4 linked regions of the Mus musculus genome follow. The protein of the gene in region 1 interacts with the protein of each later gene in a pairwise test. Links are inferred from orthologs where the notes say so. Each region holds a gene or a part of one and is shown in the gene's direction. Other genes may lie near its edges.

Region 1 (5,348 bases):
TAACTGGCTTGAGCGCTGGGAGGGGGCAAGCAGCCAGGCCTTGTCTGTAAGCTGAAGACCTGGCAGTGCTGAGCTGGTCAGCCCCCAGGACCTCCTTTTGTGCCCACGAGTGACTCACCTTGGCATAGACATAATGGTCAGGGGTGGGCACGCAGCCTGCTTCCCGCTGTGCTCCAGGCCTCCTTCGATGCTTTCCGAGAAGTCTATTGAGCTGGGAGCTTGTACTGCACCCGGGGCTGACATCCTGGCATCCTGGGATAAAAGCAGCCCACGGGGCTGCCCTTGCCATATGCCTCACTGGCGGCAGAGAACAAGGCTCTATTCAGCGAGTACCCTGGAGTAGACACCAGAAGCCCAAGCATGGGCAGAGGAAGGCAGGGGTTGGGGGGAGCAGAGCTGTCTGTGTTCCAGAAGCCCAAGGACACAGATGGCTAAGGCGCCTGGGAGAGGGACCTGAGTGGAAGAGATAGATGGGCCTGAAGTCTCAAGCAGCAACAGCCTCCTCCCCGCCATTGGTGAGGGTGGGGTTTGGTTTCCCGGACCTACATATCCCTCAGAGGCCTGGTGTGTAGGAATTTAAAGGGGGTAAATCTCCTGAGAGAATGAGGGGTACCCAGGAAGACGGGGTGTTACAGAAAGAAAGACTCCAGCATGCACAGCCAACTCATTCAAAACTACTCTGTCAGGGGCTGCCAGGGGCCAGGCTCGGGGTGGGGGGTGGGGGGCAACGAGAAGCTGGATCAGGGAGAAATGGCCCACTAGGCTGGATAAGAGGCCACAGAGGGGCTCAGGAATGAAGCCTGCTGTCTTACCCTATTAGGATCTGCGTGCATACCTTCTGCCGTGCACTCTAAACACACAGCCAGAGGCTCAAGTTGACCCTGGAGTCACAGAGAGGGCTCCAACCTTAGCCCTCCACTCCTGAACTCCAGGAATGAGAAGATAGAGTTGGAGAGATTCAGGGGAGAGGACTCTGTTGAGAATGGGGGTCACAGGAAACTGTAATATAGGTTGATCCCGGAGGAAGGGAATAGGTTCTTCAAGTTCCTAGCATCTCACAGGCCCCCAGAGAAGGACAGAGTTGGGGTGGTCCTGGCTTACAGGCTCTAAGAACTGGAAGCTGATTACCCCACCGAGCTGTGCACTCTCTGTCTCTGTCTCTGTGTGTGCGCTCGTGCACACTTATCACACAAATGTTCATGTGTGTGCACATACATGTGTTGAGACCAGAGGTCAACCTCAGGCACTGTTGCCTTGGTTTTCTGAGAGAGCATTTCTCTCTGGATCTGGAACTCGCCAATTAGTGAGAGCCAGGAAGTCTGCTGATTTTCACTGCCCAGCACTGGAGTTTACAAGTATGCACTGTCAACCCAGGCCTTTTGTATTCATTCTGCAGCTAGAACTTGGGTGGGTCTTCATGCTTGACAGGCAAGCAATTTATGGACTAAGCTGTTCCCTCGGCCCTCTCTTGACCCATTTACCAGAAAGGGGGTTCCTTGATCAATGGCGAAGCCAGGCTGGTGTTCCCAAGAAAGCCTTGACTCTGGGTACAGTGACCTCAGTGGGGTGAGAGGAGTTCTCCCCCTAGCTGGGCTGGGGCCCAGCTCCACCCCCTCAGGCTATTCAATGGGGGTGCTTCCAGGAAGTCAGGGGCAGATTTAGTCCAACCCGTTCCTCCATAAAGGCCCTGACATCCCAGGAGCCAGCAGAGGCAGGGCAGGATGGAGCGGAGACGCATCACCTCTGCGCGCCGCTCCTATGCCTCCGAGACGGTGGTCAGGGGCCTCGGTCCTAGTCGACAACTGGGTACCATGCCACGCTTCTCCTTGTCTCGAATGACTCCTCCACTCCCTGCCAGGGTGGACTTCTCCCTGGCCGGGGCGCTCAATGCTGGCTTCAAGGAGACACGGGCGAGCGAGCGTGCAGAGATGATGGAGCTCAATGACCGCTTTGCTAGCTACATCGAGAAGGTCCGCTTCCTGGAACAGCAAAACAAGGCGCTGGCAGCTGAACTGAACCAGCTTCGAGCCAAGGAGCCCACCAAACTGGCTGATGTCTACCAGGCGGAGCTTCGGGAGCTGCGGCTGCGGCTGGACCAGCTTACGGCCAACAGTGCCCGGCTGGAGGTGGAGAGGGACAACTTTGCACAGGACCTCGGCACCCTGAGGCAGAAGTGAGAAGGGGGATAGGGGAAATGGCTAGTGAGCAGAGAGACTGAAGTACAAGGGCTGCCTGCCTGGAAGAAAGGGCACTGCCTCCCCCAGGGGAGCCTCTCAGCTCCTGCATTTCCCCATGTCTGGGAGAGCTATCTTTGTTCCCTAATATGATCGGAATAGCCAGGAAGAGACTAAAAACTTCGGGGATCTGATTCTCAAAGGGAGCTGGGCACTCTGGGCACCTCCATGCTGAGGGAGGCTGGGGGCTGGGGGGTAGCCAGGGTATGAGCCAGCAGGTGCTTTCTTTCTTCATTCACTTGGCATTATGAGTGGCCAGAGAGGTTTGTATCCACAAGGAGGCTCTGAAATATAGGAAATGCAAGAAAGAGCGGCCAGGCCTGGGTGCAGGGCCCAGATGATGGATGGCCTATCACCTGCTTTTGACCCTGCTTAAGCCATTTTGAGTGGGGTAGCTGTAGAGGTCAGGAAACAATCTGTCCTAAAAGATCGGAACCAAGGGTCACACTCCAGGGCATGGTGCTTTGCTGGGTGGTGGGCATTCATGTGTCCCTCTGGTGCAGGAGGGGCACTGGTGTCAGTGACAGTGAGCACACGGTGGAGGATGCGCCTGTGGGAGCAAGAGCAGGTGCACCAACCCAGATAAGACACCTCAGTAATGAGCTAAGGCGGCAGCCCTTATCTGTTCACTCTCTCAGCCGAGGCCTCTGTGTAGGAACCCTCCGTTGCTTACTTCTGCCACTTTACCGGTCCTGTGGGATCGGTTTGTGACCGTCCCCTCCCTCTGGAGGTTAGGACAGGGACCCAAGAGTTCTCAGGAAAACCTAAAGCCCATACTGTGTCCCCTCTCCCAGGCTCCAAGATGAAACCAACCTGAGGCTGGAGGCAGAGAACAACCTGGCTGCGTATAGACAGGTCAGAGAGATGAGCGGGATGGGTGGGGGGAAGGCTGAGGGCAGCCCACCAAACACAGCCCCTGAACTTAGCCCTCCACAGCAGTCGGTGCTGCCAAGATTCCCACAAGGAGGGGGGAGACTAAGGGGGAAATTTTAGTAGGGAGGACTCTGGGGTCAAAGGGACTCTCTCCCCACTCCAGGAGGCAGATGAAGCCACCCTGGCTCGTGTGGATTTGGAGAGAAAGGTTGAATCGCTGGAGGAGGAGATCCAGTTCTTAAGGAAGATCTATGAGGAGGTGAGGCCAGGGAGGAGGAGGGAGGCCTTCCAAGACACTGCAAGTGACAGACAGAGACAGAGATGCTCAGAGAGGAGGATAGAGGAACCAACTGTCAGGAGGAAAAAGAAACAAGAGAAAGAGTAAAGACACAGAGACTAAGGGAGATGTGTCCCATATTTACTAGCCCTGAAAATGTTCGCAGCCCCTCCACCGCCATGTTCTGAGAAGCACAGCACCAGGTCTTTAGCGTCTCCTTCACATCAGCTCATTCGCCCTTATTACTACCTCCTTTCACAATGGTGGGGACATTGAAGTCCAGAGAAGTTGAAACACACCGCAAAGTCACACAGCCAAAAACCCCTCTGAGGGCCTGTCACGGCAGTACACATCTCAGCCTGTGAGAGGTAGAAGCAGAATGTTCGAACTGTTCAAAGCCAATTTCGGCTACACAGAAAAACTGAGACCAGCCTGGTCTACAGGAGAGCCTCATATAGGCTTGTGTGTGTGTGTCTCTCTCTCTCTCTCTCACACACACACACACACATCCTTCTGACCTCAGAGCCTGGCTGTGAGTCATAGGCATGGCTGGTTCCTGACTATCCAGTCCTGGGGAAATACCCTCAAACTCTCATTCCATGCCCATTGAGGGTTTTATTTTTACTTTTTGACAAGGTTCCACTGTGAAGCCTTGGCCGGCTTGGAACATTCTATATAGACCAGGCTGGCCTCAAAACCATAGAGATCTGCCTGCTCTAGCCTCCCACTAAAGGTGTCTGCACTGAGTCTGGTATATAAGCCCATGAGTCTAGGCCATGCACTTCCTCCAGTAACAGCAGCCTCGTTTCCACAAGCCATTGCCGTGTCTAGCAGACAGAAGTGTGAGTCTTCGAGAACCGAGCTGGAGTCTAGGCCTGAGGCTTGAGCCTCAGTACCCCTTTTTTACCTTATTAGGAAGTTCGAGAACTCCGGGAGCAGCTGGCCCAACAGCAGGTCCACGTGGAGATGGATGTGGCCAAGCCAGACCTCACAGCGGCCCTGAGAGAGATTCGCACTCAATACGAGGCAGTGGCCACCAGTAACATGCAAGAGACAGAGGAGTGGTATCGGTCTAAGGTACCTGTGGGCCAGTTTGCCTCTTCCAGGAAGCCTTCCTGCTATATACTGGAGAATAAGGGAAGGAACCTTGGAAAATAACCTATCTAGATGACCAGTCTTGCCCAGAGAGAGAAGACTTGCCTAGGACCATGTAGGCATTACTACTTCCCAAACTACTCGTTGTTATTGCTATTACCTGTAATAGCAATAATAGTCAATAATAGCTAATAGGTTCACTAGCTTGCTCAGTGTCACACAGCTTCTAAGGGATAAAGGGATAACGTTTCCTATCCTAACCCATCTCATTAGAGAGTCTGCCTTTTTGATGCCTCTGCCAGTCTATGTCCTATGTTACTGAACATCTATTGTGTACCAGGTACTTTGGTCCAGAGGTGGACAGAGTTTGTTCGGACTGTAGGAGGCAGGGAAGATGAGGGGGTGGGACTTGTGCTAGACAAGCAGCCTAGAGACTCAGGAGAAGAAGGAAGGGCATCTCAGGTGAAGAATAGGTGCTATGAGGAGGTCTGAGACAGAAAAGCGCAGACAGAGACCAGGGATGCTGCTGGCCCAGGGCACGAAACCCAGTGTTGAGTTGCTGAGCCTCACATGCAGTGACAGTCTGGGCAGGATGAAGGCCTGAGAAGTCCTTGGCCTACCGTTGCTTCTGCCGAGAGAGCGCTGACTGAGGTCGGTTTTCCAGAGATCGTGTATATCTATCTCCCAGCCCAGGCAGCTCCCTGGTCTGTGCCCTGCGCCACTGGGAGGCTCTGGTCCACCTTCCCTCAACTTCAGGTCCTCTCTCGGTTTAGTTTGCAGACCTCACAGACGCTGCGTCCCGCAACGCAGAGCTGCTCCGCCAAGCCAAGCACGAAGCTAACGACTATCGCCGCCAACTGCAGGCCTTG
Region 2 (4,894 bases), on another chromosome or scaffold:
ATGCTAGATACTGTGAACATCTGTAATCTCAGTGCTCCTGCAGAGAGATGGGAGGCAGAAACGGGATCTCTGGAAGCCCGAAGGCTAGCTAGCTTGATATACACAGCAGAACAACAAGGAGACCTGGTCTCAGGGAAGATGTGAGGACACACACTAACACACAGAGGTAAATTAAAGGATAAGAACTCAGCGCTTTCCGCCGTGCCAGTTTTCTTCCTGAGATCTACACCTTGTTTACCAGTCGCACAGATCATGGGTTGGGAGTTAAGACCTGTCATCATACTTCACTGACCGATTATTTTCTTCACTAGCGCCTAATTGAGGAAGAGAATATGCTGGCCCCATCTCTGAAGCAGTTTTCGCTGAGGGTAGAGATTTTACCATCATACATTCCAGTGAGAGTTGCTGAAAAAATCCTCTTTGTTGGAGAATCTGTCCAAATGTTTGAGAATCAAAATGTGAACCTGACAAGGAAAGGTAGGAATGCCCTTGTTCTATTGGTCCCATCCTCAGAGGCTCTGTATCTGCAACACTGGCCCAAAGCATGCAGGGTTAGAGTGGCTGATGACAACAATGACTGCAGCAAAACCGCTCTGATAGATTTGCCTGGGCCACTGTGGCCCCCTCCACCCTGTCTGCCCTGACTCCTGTCTGATGATCATGTCATCATAATCCACAGGGTCCATCTTGAAAAACCAGGAGGACACATTCGCTGCCGAGCTGCACCGGCTCAAGCAGCAGCCACTCTTCAGCCTGGTGGATTTTGAGCAGGTGGTAGATCGGATTCGTAGCACTGTGGCTGAGGTCTGTCTTTTCTCTTCTAGTGTTCCAGAAGACATGAGTTTGTAGAACCCTAAAGGGAGAGAGAGCGGGGAGGGGGGTACCTATGGGGCTGGAGAGATGGCTCAGTGGTTAAGAGCACTGGATTCAACTTTGGTTCGATTCCCAGGACCCACATAGTGGCTTTCAACCATCTGCCACTCCAGCTCCAAGAGATCCAGTGCCCTATTCTGGCTTCCAGAGGCACTGGGCAGACATTGATACAGATAATCACTAGGCACACACCCTCACACATGAAAAGAAATAAGTGAAAGAACGTCTGTTTTTCAGGTAGAAATGGAACTGATGTGTTTTAATCAGTTGATTAAAGGGAAGTCTCAGTTTAATTTCTAACACTCATGAATTTGGGTGAGGAAAAGCTTTGTGTGTATGTCTGTGTGTTTGTGCCCATGTGTGTGTGTTTTATTATCGACCATGTATTTCACTTGTACATGGTAATCTTGGAAGGAAAGCCACGCACACAGGATGGTGGTCCTGGCCCTTGAGACAAGTGGGAGGGTTGCTAGGGATTCTAGGTACTGGGACTTCTTGAGCTGAGGGTGCTTATATTGATTGGCCTGTTCATTGTGAACTTCAAGATGTAAGCTTATGATTTATTTGTTTTTCTGTATAATAGTCACTACTTTCACTAAAATTTTGGATATGTAAGAGAAAAACTCTTGTATCTAAAGTTGTTTATTATTTATATGGAGACATAGTAATGCTAATTTATTGCTGGCTAGTCTTACACATTCCCCTTAACTCTGTGTAACTAACTTTTTTTTAAAGGCTTATTTATTTTATGTATATGAGTGCACTGTCGCTCTCTTCAGACACACCAGAAGAGGGCATCAGATCCCATTACAGATGGTTGTGAGCCACCATGTGGTTGCTGAGAATTGAACTCAGAACCTCTGGAAAAGCAGTCAGTGCTCTTAACCTCTGAGTCATCTCTCCAATCCCTGGGTAACTAACTTAATTCTGGGGTTTGATACTATAAAATTTTTTATGTACAAAAGATTACATCACCTGAAAATAAGAAAATAAGAAGTGTTTTACAACACTTCTTCTAATGTTTAACACCCCACCATACATTGTTCTAGGATCTTTATTGATAAAGTAGACAGGTCGCCTTTGTTTGCATAAATTGTGTCAAACAGCAGAGGTAATATTGGACGTCTCTGAACTCCTGACGCTTAGAGATGCAGAGAATTCCTGCATTACTATGACATTTGCTGTAGGCTTCTAGAAGGCAGTGTAATAAACTATTCTCTTCCTAGTTAGCTGGGTTTTTTTCTTAAGTGCTGTCAGGTTTACCAGTTGCCCCTGTGTTAGTGGAGGAGAGCAGTCTTGCCTTGGATCCATTTCTCTTTCATAGTTTTTATATCTGTATGCATTAGTTAAGAAAGACAATTGTCTTATTCTTGGGTAGTTTTTACATAAGCCTTATAAAATGGGTTAGGTAGGTGCTTTTGTTCCTTTTCTTTTTGTTTGTTAAACAGTCTGTGTTTTCTTTGTTTGTAATTGTTACTTAGAGTTTGAACTTCCCTGAAAAGTGATCTAGGCTTCCTTAGGAAGAGAACCTTGACTGGCTGAGTATGTTTTAAAACTAAGTTGCCATAAAGCTTCTTCTTGTAACAGTTTTGATGACTCTGTAGCTTTGCAACTTGACTATTTCAGGTGGACTTAAATTTTTAAAATACTTGCTTATCTATAAATAGGTTTTGTTTTGTTTTGTTTACTTAAGTTTTGTCTTTTAAACATGATTTTGTGGCCTGTCAGTAGTAGCATAGGGCAGGCAGAGGCAAGTGGATCTCTGCATTTGAGGCCAGCTTGGTTTACAGGACAACAGCCAGGGCTACAGAGAAACCCTGTCTAGGAAAAAAAAAAAAAAAAGAATAAATAAATAAATAAATTGTGTGTCTGGGTGTGTAGTGTATGTACTTATGTTACAAGGTAGGTAGGTGTGTGTGTGTTGTGTGAGTGCGTGCGTGCCTGTGGAGATTAGTTTCAGAAATCTTCTGTTTTCACTCTCCTACCTTACTGTTAGGACAGCATCTTTCTGAACCAAGAGCTCACTGTTTGGGCTGGCCTGGCTGGCCAGGGAGCCCCAGCACTCCCTGCCTCCCTGTCTGCCAGCATTGGGTTAGGCACGAGCCACTGCTCAGCTTTCACATAGATGCTGGAGATCTGAACTTGGGTCCTTATGCTTGCTTAGCAAGGTTTTTCATCACTGAGCCATCTTGCCAGCCCCAGTTTTTCTCATTATTTAGTCTTGTTAGGCTTTTATTAAGATTAATAAACTAGTTAGAACCAGCTTTTCCCCCTTAATTTAAAACATACTAACTTACACATTTAGAAAAATTATATATAAATGTAACATCTGGGTACCTGGAGATGCAGAAAAAGCATTGGCTAAAACTCTCCATTAGTTCATGACTTATAAAAAAAGAAAAAGAAAATCTAGGCTTTCTGGTACACACCCCATCAGTGTAGCACTGGGAAAACTATAGCATAGCAGGAAGATGACTGCCAACTCCAGGCCAGCTTTGCATAGGCAGCAATCCCATTTAGCTTTTTGGGGTTTTTTTTTTTTCTTCTGTTTTTTTGTTTTGTTTTTGTTTTTATAAAAAGGACTCGAGAGATGGCTTATCAGTTAAGAGCAGTGGCTTGCTCTCCCAGTGGACCTGGATTTGATTTCCAACACCTACAAAATGGCTCACAACCATCTGGAATTCCAGCTCCAGGGAATCTGGCATCCTTATCTAGCCTCTGAGGGCACGAGCCAGGCATATGATACAAAGATATGCATGCAGGCATAACACCCATACAAGTGTAAAAAAAAAAATCATACAACTTATCTATGCATCTCCAGGTACCCAGATGATTTTTCCTATTAACTTTAATGTTGTGCTTTTTTGAGACAGGGTCTCCTTCTGTAGAGACTCTTCCTGTCCTGGAACTAACTATATAGATTAGGCTGGCCTTGAACTCAACAGAGCTCCTTCTACCTCTGCTTCTGATGCTGAAATTCAAGGCATGAGCTACTCCGCTTGGCTACAGTCATGCTTTCTCAAAAGTGACTGGGGAAAAAAAAATCAAATATGTACTCAACTTTGTAGCCATTTAAAAATGGTATTCACACAGAGTTGTATATGTAGCTATTACCATTAATTTCAGGACATTTTTATCTTGTATAGGTTTTGTTTCTGTCTGCTCATTCCTAGGATTAGCTGAACTTGGGTTCACTGTAATGGATTTTTGTGTTTTTTTTTTTAATCTCATCACAGCACCTCTGGAAGCTAATGGTGGAAGAGTCAGATTTACTGGGTCAGCTGAAGGTAATAACTGACACTCTTTTAAATCCGGAAATGATTCTGGAAAGCAGTCTTATCTACACTGCCACAGTCGATTCATTTGTTCTTACTCAAGTGAGGAAAATATATTTTATGCTACAAATCTTTTCTACTCTAAAGATTCAAGCTTACTTTCTTCTGTTGTGATGTAAATACCATCAAACAGAGTCTTCCTGCTTTGGGAGGCTGCTCTGTATGTCTCTTTAAAATGTCAAGCCTGTATCCTTCAGACTGCTAGTATCAGCCTCTCTGTGTCTAATTCATTTGGGGTGGTCAGGGCCTCCAGGCTCTGATTTACTGAATTGTACACTGAAATTCTTTCCCCAGATCATTAAAGACTTTTACCTGCTGGGACGAGGAGAACTGTTCCAGGCCTTCATTGACACAGCTCAGCACATGTTGAAAACACCACCCACTGCAGTAACAGAGCATGGTAATTTTCCTGTGGCCCTGAGAGTAAAGTTTGCTCAGGTTGCAGGGTGTTTCTTGGCTGGTGTTGTGTGTTGCATGTTTGCCTGCAGAGGCCAGAAGAGGGAGGACTTGAGTCACAAGCAGTTGTTATAGCTAAAGCTTCCTTATGCTTGGGGTATAACTAGGTCTCAGAACAACTAAAGTGAAGGACTTCAGTACTTTCAAGACTTCTCCTTACCCTGACAACTCCCCTAGACATCAGTAGCCATTCCTGGTCTCTAGAAGCAAACTAAAGAAATCTAGTGAAG
Region 3 (4,040 bases), on another chromosome or scaffold:
TTTGCTGTACATTCCATTTTTGTGGCTAGGAAATTGTGTCTTACTACTTGTACAGTGTCTCTGTCTAAAGATGGTGTTCTCTGTTTGGGAACCTGAATAGTCTAGATAATTACCCACTATAAATACCAACGGCTTTTGTCATGGAAACTTTGCTTCCTGGCTAGAGCAGCCTCATAATTCATTCTCATTTTGAAGACTTGCTTTTCTGTTTCCTTTGTTTTGGAAGTTTGGGGGCAAGATCTCACTAAGTAGCCCTAGATGGCCTGGGACAAGCAGTGATCTTTATGTTCCTGCCTCCTGAGTGCTGCTGATGTTATAGGGAGGGACTGACATACCCACTGAACACTTGATAATTGCAAAGCTCTGAGCTAGCGCTTTAGGAGAGATGGAAATGAATAAGGCTATCTCTTACTGTGGTTTAGAGGAAAGTTGTAAAGTTTGTGGTAGCGAGCTCTAAAGACTGCCTACTTGTGTTGGACAGGTTATCGTGGTCCTCAAGGTTGAAGGATTGAGGGAAGGATGTATTGTTACTATCTATAATTTTGTGGTTTTGTTTTGTTTTGTTTTAGGGCTGAAAGAATCAGGATCCCTGAGCCCTGGATCACACCCCCAGATCTACAAGAGAAAATCCATATTTTTGCCCAAAAATGTCTGTTTTTGACAGAAAGTCTAAAACAGTTCACAGGTAATATGAGGAAGAGAGTGGGTTTATATTCTGAGTGTGTTGTTATCATTGTCATCTGAGGATGGATTTTCTAACCAGTTAAGAGTCATATAAACCGAATCTCTTCTTTTTTTGTTTTTAGAAAAGATGCAGTCAGATATGGAGAAGATCCAAGGTAAATTTACCTATTTCCTGAGCTCTTGACATTTTAAGTTTCTTGGAAAGAAGCGAGTATATAGACAGTCCAGGGGGTGTCAACAAGATAGCTCAGTAAGTGCAGTCACTTACTGGGCAAACCTGTCGACCTGAGTCTGCTACTTGGAACCTATACAAAGGTATAAGGAAAGAACAGAATCCACGTGTGTAATGACATTTGTGATCGCACACGCACACACACGCACACGTTATTCATGTGCTTCCCTACCTGACACCGTTGCTTTAGTTTGGGTTTGGTTGAGACAGTCATAATGTGTAGCCCAGTCTAGCCTATTACTCACCGGTCTCCTGCCTCAGACCTTCTGCCTCTGGGGTTACAGGTGTGGCGCCATATCCACAGCTACGTTTAGTTCGGTGGCTAGTAACCAGAAGTGGCTTTCCTTGATCTGATTCTTCTTTCTCTTCCTCTTCCTTTGCCACTTCAAAGACTTGTGTGAAATCCTTGGCCAGCTAGAAACCCCACATAAATTAATGATGGCAGTGGGTGTCATTTGAGCCACCCAGCCTCTACAGCAAAGATGGTTCGTACAAGTTAAGAGTTATATATATTATATGTCATGCATTTGAACTTTGCCTTTGCAGAATCCAGTGGCTCTCTGGAGGGTGGAATTCTTGATCTTGGCTCAGTGTGATACCATGTTTTACAAAGTTCATACATGTTATCTGTATAGCCAAGGTTCCCAAACCCCTAACCCTAAAAATCCTTGCATGTGCAAAGCATAGTGGTGCATGCCTGTAAACCTAGTACCTCACAGCTCATCAGCAGTGACTGCCATGAGTTTGAAGCCAGCCTGGCCATACAGTGAGTTTCAGGTCAGCCTGAGTTACATAGTAAGACTGTCTTTCTAAAAGAGAAAAAAAAATTCCTGGGCAGATAAGCAGATATGGAGTCATAACATCAAATGAAAATCAGTACCCAATTGACACAGGCGTTCTGCAATGCTAGTGGGTTCCACTGCTTTATGGTTTGTTTTTTGTTTTTTGTTTTTTCACTTAACATGTTTCCTAGAAAGACACACAGGTTCAGTAACTTCTTTTCTCTCTTGTCTTTCAGAGTTGAGAGAGGCTCAGTTATACTCAGGTAGGTACCTGAAGACAAACCATGTTGAAGAAAGGATTAAAAGCCCTATGAGCCTGACCACTATTATAAGTGCTTTGAGACAGCCTCAAGTTTGAATCCTTTAGTTGCATATACACAGATATCATACAGCCAGAAGCCCAGTAGTTGGGAACATGAGGCAGGGACATCAGGAGTTTAAGGCCATTTTTTTGCTACTTAGTTAATCCACATAGATTTCTGTTTCAAAAAAGATAAAGGGAAAAACTTAAAAGAGTGGATGTTCAAGGCAAATTCTCAGAACAAATACAAGAATGATTTGAAAGGTGGTAATATTAAACTTTAGCTAAAACTATTGGCCACCAAAGTTTTCAAATTCAGAAATTAGACATATGTAAAGAAGCTTTAAATGAAATCTCCGAAGGAGGTTGAGCCTTAGATGTGAGAAAAGGAGTGGGAAGTAAAATTGTATTACTTTCATTGTTATCCATACAGAGGCAATCAGCTAATCTAACCGTAAATTTTTAGGTTCTGAGTCAGGGTCTTACTATGTAACACTGACCATGCAACATGGGCTGGTCTGGAACTCCTGAAGATAACTTCTGCCTCAGTCTCCACGTGTGCCACCATGCTTAGTTCCAAGAGAATTTTTTTACATAATCAGTTCACCGTGTGTCTGATATATAATGAGTACAGCCTCTGGTGGGCATCTCCTACAGTGTTCTGGGGAAGTCAGTGAAATACCAGGTAGTCTTGAGTGGGCTCTTCTGGCCCTCAGATGACACCCCCCCCCCTTTGTTTCTACAGTTGATGTAACCCTGGACCCAGACACAGCCTATCCCAGTCTGATTCTTTCTGATAATCTTCGGCAAGTACGGTACAGTTACCTCCAGCAGGATCTTCCAGACAACCCTGAGCGATTCAATCTGTTTCCCTGTGTCTTGGGCTCTCCATGTTTCATCGCTGGGAGACATTACTGGGAGGTAGAGGTGGGAGATAAAGCCAAGTGGACCATAGGTGTCTGTGAAGACTCGGTGTGCAGAAAAGGTGGGGTGACCTCAGCCCCCCAGAATGGATTCTGGGCAGTGTCATTGTGGTATGGGAAAGAATATTGGGCTCTTACATCCCCAATGACTGCACTACCCCTGCGGACCCCTCTCCAGAGAGTAGGGATTTTCTTGGACTATGATGCTGGTGAGGTTTCCTTCTACAATGTGACAGAGAGATGCCATACCTTTACTTTCTCTCACGCTACCTTCTGTGGGCCAGTCCGGCCCTACTTCAGCCTAAGCTACTCGGGAGGGAAGAGCGCAGCTCCTTTGATCATCTGCCCTATGAGTGGGATTGATGGGTTTTCTGGCCATGTTGGGAATCATGGTCATTCCATGGAGACCTCTCCGTGAGGAAGTGAACGTAGACCACAAGTGCTGTTGCCTGTAATCCTACCCCAGGCACAAGGGATCTTGTCCTGATTCCTGTCCATCAAAATTGGGTGTCCTTACCATTTCCGTGCCCCTACAGTGAGAGACAAGATGTCCATCCATGGTCTCTACTGCATTTTCCCTTCCCTTGCAGATTGTGAGATGTAATGAAAAGTATTGCTATTTCCCAGAAATAAAAACTAGATTCCTCCTGTGTTTCATACGTTTTGTTTTTGTTATGACTGAAGGACATAAAAGAATAGGATTTGGATTTGGAGACCCACTTTCCAGAATCTTGTCCTGGCTTCTCTTCATGTGGATCACAATACGGAAAGTATGAGCCAAATAAAACCATTCCTCCCCAGGGGGCTTTTGTCAGTGTTTGTCATAGCAAGAGAGACACAACTTAAGGTGCCAGATTCGTAAGCTATTGCTATGATAGACTGACCTTGTTTTGCAAAGGATTTTGGAAGTGTTTGTAACTTTGGTTTGGAAATTAAGAGTGTTGAGAAATGCAGATGATAAACTTAGGAAGTTTCAGGGGGGAACAAAGACTGGGTAATTTTGTACTATATTTGAATTAAGAATGTGTGGTTTCTGCACAGCTGGGGCTGAAGAATTGACTGTGAATAACAAGACACCAATACCACTGACGTGAAACTTGTTTTTCTACAACAGTCAA
Region 4 (4,894 bases), on another chromosome or scaffold:
AAAAAAAAGAAACACACAGTAGGAAAAAAATAATAAAGCTGGAGCTGGGTGGTGGTGTTCTATGTCCTTAATCCCAGCACTGTCAGGAGGCAGAGGCAGGCGGATCTCTGTGAGCTCGAGGCTAGCCTGCTCTATATAGTGAGTTTCAGGACAGCTAGAGCTACATAGTGAGACCCTGTTCCAAAACAAAACAAAAAGGGCACTTCTCAAATCAGGCACTGTCGTGGGAAGAGGGCAAGCCACGGTCAGCCTAAGCTAGGCTGTAAGGCTCTAACAACAAACATGAACACAGAGCAGTGACAGCAGTGTGTGAGTGTGAGGTTCCGCCCTCTTGGGAGTCAGTTAGCTCAGGGTAGTGCTTCTCAACCTGTGGATCATGACCCCTTTTGAGGTCGCATATCAGATACCTACATTTCAGTTCATAACAGTAGCAAAATGACAGTTATGAAGTAGCAATGAAAGAATTTATGTTGAGGGTCACCACAACATGAGGAACTGCATTAAAGTGTCGCAGCCTTAGGAAGGGTGAGAACTCCAGGGTGAGAAGGGTGAGAGGCTTCAGGGCCTTGGCATGGCAAGTATCTGTAGTTCCAGAGATGCCCAAGGCGTCGCTCCGGCTCAGTCCAGCTGCGTGCTCACTGCTCATCCACAGCTGTGCCTCTATCTGATGTCACAAGGCCACTGTGTGCTCTCGCGCCTCCCACCCTCACCCTCACCCTCACCCCTTTCCTAGTCCTGCTGATTTTTGATAAAGCAGTGCAAATGCAGGTCATTGGAGGAAAGATAGTCCTTTGGACAAAATGATGCTGGAGCAGTCAGACATCCAAAGATAACCACGACCTAATCTCACATCTAGTGGTGAACTCTTAAAACATCACGGACTTAATGTGTATAAAACTCAAAACCATGAAACTTGTTGAAGGAAAGTGTAAGAGAAAATCTTGGGTGTTTGGGGATAGACAAAAACCCTCCAGACACCAGCAGCATGGTACAGAATAGAAAATACTAAAACATGTACCTCATTAAAACTTTGCCCTGCAAAAGATCCTGTAGGAAGGGTGAAAGGGTGCCCGATGGAGAGGGGCACACATCTGATCCCAGCGTGGGGCAGGCTCAAGTCTACATGGCAAGTTACAGGCCAGCCAGGGAGGGCTAAACGATGAGACCTGTCTCAGAAAAGAAAAAAGATAACAGGAGATGGAATATAATCACAGTGTTTTACATATTTGTATGAAATTGTGAAAGAACACATTTTAAAAACTCTAGAAAGCAATAATTTAATTACAATAAGAACATGGGCTACAGAGATGGCTCAGACTTAGGGCACTGACTGTTCTTCCAGAGGATCCAGATTCAATTCCCAGCACCCACATAGGAGCTCACCATGGTTTATAACTCCATTTCAAGGGAATCTACTGCATTCTGGCCTCTAAAGACTTAAGATGTGCAGGTAGTACACAGATGTACATGCTAACCAAACAGCCACACACATAAGTAAATGTAAGAGAGCACTTTAGAATAAGGACAGGAGCCATGGAAATACATTTCACTTAGATGCTTGGATGGAAGTAAACATTGGAAAGGTCTTCAGCTTTATTAGCTGTTTGAGAAGTGCAAAATAAAACCAGTGACAACATCACTTACCGCTGGTGAGGGTGCGGAAAAACTGAGTCCTTCACACACTGATGGAAAGACAGATGTCTAAGCTACTCTAAAAAACATTTCAAAATCTAAACATGGCTACCGTCTGAGCAGCTGCAGTGGTGGCATGTGTCCCTAAGAAGTTCTGAAGACATCTGTGTACACTGAAACCTACATGTGGGTATGATAGCAGCTCTGTGCGTAACACACAGAAGTTAGAAATGGTCCAGATGCCCTGCAGCGGGCGGACAGTGAAGAGAACCTGAGTGCTCTGCAGGATGTTAATCTCAGTAGTAGGGAGGGAACAGCCTCATGCATTGCTCAAGAATTTTTGTTGCTTGTTTGGTTGTTTTTTTGTTGTTGTTTGTTTGTTTGTTTGTTTGTTTTTTAGATAGAATCTCATTATGTAGGCCTGGCTGGCTTGGAACTCACTGTGTAGATCAGGCTAGCCTTAAAATTATAGAGATCCACTGGCCTTTGCCTCCCAAGTGCAAGGATTAAAGGCACATACCACCATGACTAGCTTCTCTGAAAAAAATTTCTGCCTAGAAAAGTTACCCCAAGTTGCATAAGGTATGATTCTAGCTTTTCAGATGCTGGAATTACAAAACAGATATCATAGGTGAAAGATGAACAGAAACGTACGTGTGGCTGCAAAAGAACAATAGAGGGGTTCTGGTACAGATGGAAATGTCCTGCACCTTGACAACCCAAGTCCCGTTCTCAGAGCACACTCTGGTTCATAGGATATGAACTATGGGAAGTGTCTGGGAAGGCCAGGTTCAGGTGTCTGGTCATCCACATCTGTGTGAGGGCAGGTTTGTTAAAGTAGGAAGGGAAGGAGAGAAACCAGGACAGATGTGAGCACCAAGAAATGAGGTACTACAAATAGATTGAAATGTTTGCATTTTTATGGTTTCAGAGAAGCTAATGACTCCTGAGATGTTTTCAGAAATACTTTGTGATGACCTGGATTTGAATCCACTGACTTTTGTGCCAGCTATTGCCTCTGCCATTCGACAGCAGATTGAGTCCTACCCCACAGACAGCATCCTAGAGGATCAATCCGACCAGCGTGTCATCATCAAGGTAGGTGCCAAGAGTACACTCAGCCCTTGATGGAAGCCTGTCAGGTTCCCTGCTTGGGATGCGGTTTCTGGGATGACATCTCTCAGGGACAACTGACTAAGCACTCAGGAATGGGTGGGCTGACTTTTCAGATTTAAGTGTCACATTGTGGGTAGGATAGCGAGTGCTGCTGCATCTCCATCAGGACAACCAGTGCTGCTGCATCTCCATCAGGACAGTTGCTGAGCCAACCCCAGAGTTGGGAGAGCCCACAGTGAGATGTGCAACGTCAGTGTAATGTTCTTATGGGCTGGGTCAGAAATACTTTATGATTCAAATACATGTTTGTATTTCTGCTTTCAGTTTTTGGGGTTTATACTCCAAATTAAAATTAAGTTAGTTAAAATTAAACAAGTTAAAATTGCTAGGACATGATTGTTAAGAGCATTGGTTGCTCTTCTGGAGGACCTGGGTTTAATACCCAGCCTCCATGGGGCAGCTCATAACTGTCTGTAACTCCAGGGTCTGACAACCTCACACAGACGTACATATAAGTAAAATACCAGTACACATTAAATAAAAATAAATAAATCTTAGAAAAAAATCTCTAGGTCACTAGACTATCTGCCCTTTATTATTTTGAGGACCTATCAGACTTGCACAGGAGTCACACCGTCTTATGCCCCCACTAACAATGCACTAAGGTTCCAGTTTCTCCCCAGAATCAGTAAAAGTTGTTCTTACCGCCCTGCCTCCCTTCTCTCCTTCATTCCCCCTTTCTTCCTTTCTTGTGCGATAGTAGCCATCCTAATGGGGTGAAGTATCTGATTATGTTGACTCTTTAGCTTCCTTATTAGTGTGCTATTATGCATGTGTCTTACTGCATTGATTTTTTTTCTATAACTGTTATTAGTATGTGTGTGCCACCACAAATATGTGAAGGTGAGAGCACAGGTTTGTGAAGTATTGTTTTTCTTCCACAGAGTTCGGGAATAGGCATATCTTTCTAAGGGGTAGCAAGTAGATGGGGTAGGTGTGCTTGTTCGCAGCTTGGCAGGATGCTTGTAAAGTAACATCAGGGTATGGACAGTGGCTTAAAACAGGCTCAAGGACAATCCCTGAAGAGTGGCATGTAAGCTGAGCTCTGCATGGCCAGCATAGCTGCATAAAGGTTGATTGTCCGAGGTGTAAAGGACAAAGAAGACACTTAGCCAGCATGGGATGCAAGAGGAATAGAAGAGAGGTTACGGTGGGATCAGGTGCCCAGGACCTCAGTGTCTAGTGACAACCTGGAAGTCGGGGAGGTCGGTTCTATTTTATAAATAAGGAGCTAGACAGACCAGGGCCTCAGTTTCTGAGTGATGGGCTGGATTTCCTCCAACCTGGCAGCTGAGAATGGCTTGTCCCCACCTCCTCCCAGCTCTCCTGGGGGACTAATGTTTGGCCTTCACTTGTGTTTCTTGGCCCCTGCTGCAGCTGAACATCCACGTGGGGAACATCTCCCTGGTGGACCAGTTTGAGTGGGACATGTCAGAGAAAGAGAACTCCCCAGAGAAGTTTGCCCTGAAGCTGTGCTCAGAGCTGGGCTTGGGCGGGGAGTTTGTCACCACCATTGCATACAGCATCCGAGGACAGCTGAGCTGGCACCAGAAGACCTATGCCTTCAGGTAGGATAACCAGCATGGTCATCTTTCCCGCTGGTCTTGTGTTTTGTCCATTTCCTTGCCTCCACTGGAAAAAGATTTCATTGAGAACTGGAATGCTTAGGAAAAGCAAGAGCAAGGGGCTTTCTGCAAAGCCATGGCAGTTCAGGAAGCTTGTTAGTAGGCGTTTGACTCAGATAGGTTTACCAGACATCCCAAGATTCAGCTTCCTTAGGGATTTCTGTAATGTGAGCAAGAGAAAAAAGGTCTAGAGGGAGGCAGCTCCAGTCCCAGGGGATCCAATGCTCTCTGAGCACCAGGAATCTAAGGGGAATATAGACATGCATGTAGGCAGTACACCCAAACACATAAAATAAAAATGTTTGGGGAGGGGGTAGACAGAAGAAATGAGGTACACCTAAAAGGGTATGAGCCCCTCAGCCCAAGCACTTGATACGCTAAGCAGGCACATGAGTTGCTTACTGAGACTCCTCTAGCAGCCCCTTGGCCAAGCAGTTTTATTTTCTAGCCTTAATGTCTGT

The links. The genes of interacting proteins can lie anywhere in the genome.
Region 2: the proteins of Gfap (region 1) and Tubgcp4 interact in a two-hybrid assay, tested with the Homo sapiens proteins (2 studies listed by BioGRID and IntAct). The two-hybrid records come from large-scale screens. The link is inferred for Mus musculus from reciprocal best matches to the Homo sapiens genes GFAP and TUBGCP4.
Region 3: the proteins of Gfap (region 1) and Trim27 interact in binary tests that used the Homo sapiens proteins (3 or more experiments, as listed by UniProt). The two-hybrid records come from large-scale screens. The link is inferred for Mus musculus from reciprocal best matches to the Homo sapiens genes GFAP and TRIM27.
Region 4: the proteins of Gfap (region 1) and Smarcb1 interact in binary tests that used the Homo sapiens proteins (3 or more experiments, as listed by UniProt). The link is inferred for Mus musculus from reciprocal best matches to the Homo sapiens genes GFAP and SMARCB1.

What each region holds. Positions count from the first base shown.
Region 1 is NC_000077.6:102,893,491-102,898,838, reverse strand, and holds the start of Gfap (glial fibrillary acidic protein), read left to right. Parts: upstream 1-1,638; 5' UTR 1,639-1,721; coding exon 1,722-2,173; intron 2,174-3,028; coding exon 3,029-3,089; intron 3,090-3,270; coding exon 3,271-3,366; intron 3,367-4,299; coding exon 4,300-4,461; intron 4,462-5,252; coding exon 5,253-5,348.
Region 2 is NC_000068.7:121,184,023-121,188,916, forward strand, and holds part of Tubgcp4 (gamma-tubulin complex component 4), read left to right. Parts: intron 1-311; coding exon 312-477; intron 478-679; coding exon 680-804; intron 805-4,109; coding exon 4,110-4,160; intron 4,161-4,502; coding exon 4,503-4,608; intron 4,609-4,894. UniProt on the Homo sapiens protein: Component of the gamma-tubulin ring complex (gTuRC) which mediates microtubule nucleation.
Region 3 is NC_000079.6:21,189,286-21,193,325, forward strand, and holds part of Trim27 (zinc finger protein RFP), read left to right. Parts: intron 1-569; coding exon 570-685; intron 686-806; coding exon 807-839; intron 840-1,307; exon of another isoform or gene 1,308-1,401; intron 1,402-1,934; coding exon 1,935-1,961; intron 1,962-2,744; coding exon 2,745-3,340; 3' UTR 3,341-4,040. UniProt on the Homo sapiens protein: E3 ubiquitin-protein ligase that mediates ubiquitination of various substrates and thereby plays a role in diffent processes including proliferation, innate immunity, apoptosis, immune response or autophagy.
Region 4 is NC_000076.6:75,903,866-75,908,759, reverse strand, and holds part of Smarcb1 (SWI/SNF-related matrix-associated actin-dependent regulator of chromatin subfamily B member 1), read left to right. Parts: intron 1-2,563; coding exon 2,564-2,730; intron 2,731-4,185; coding exon 4,186-4,376; intron 4,377-4,894.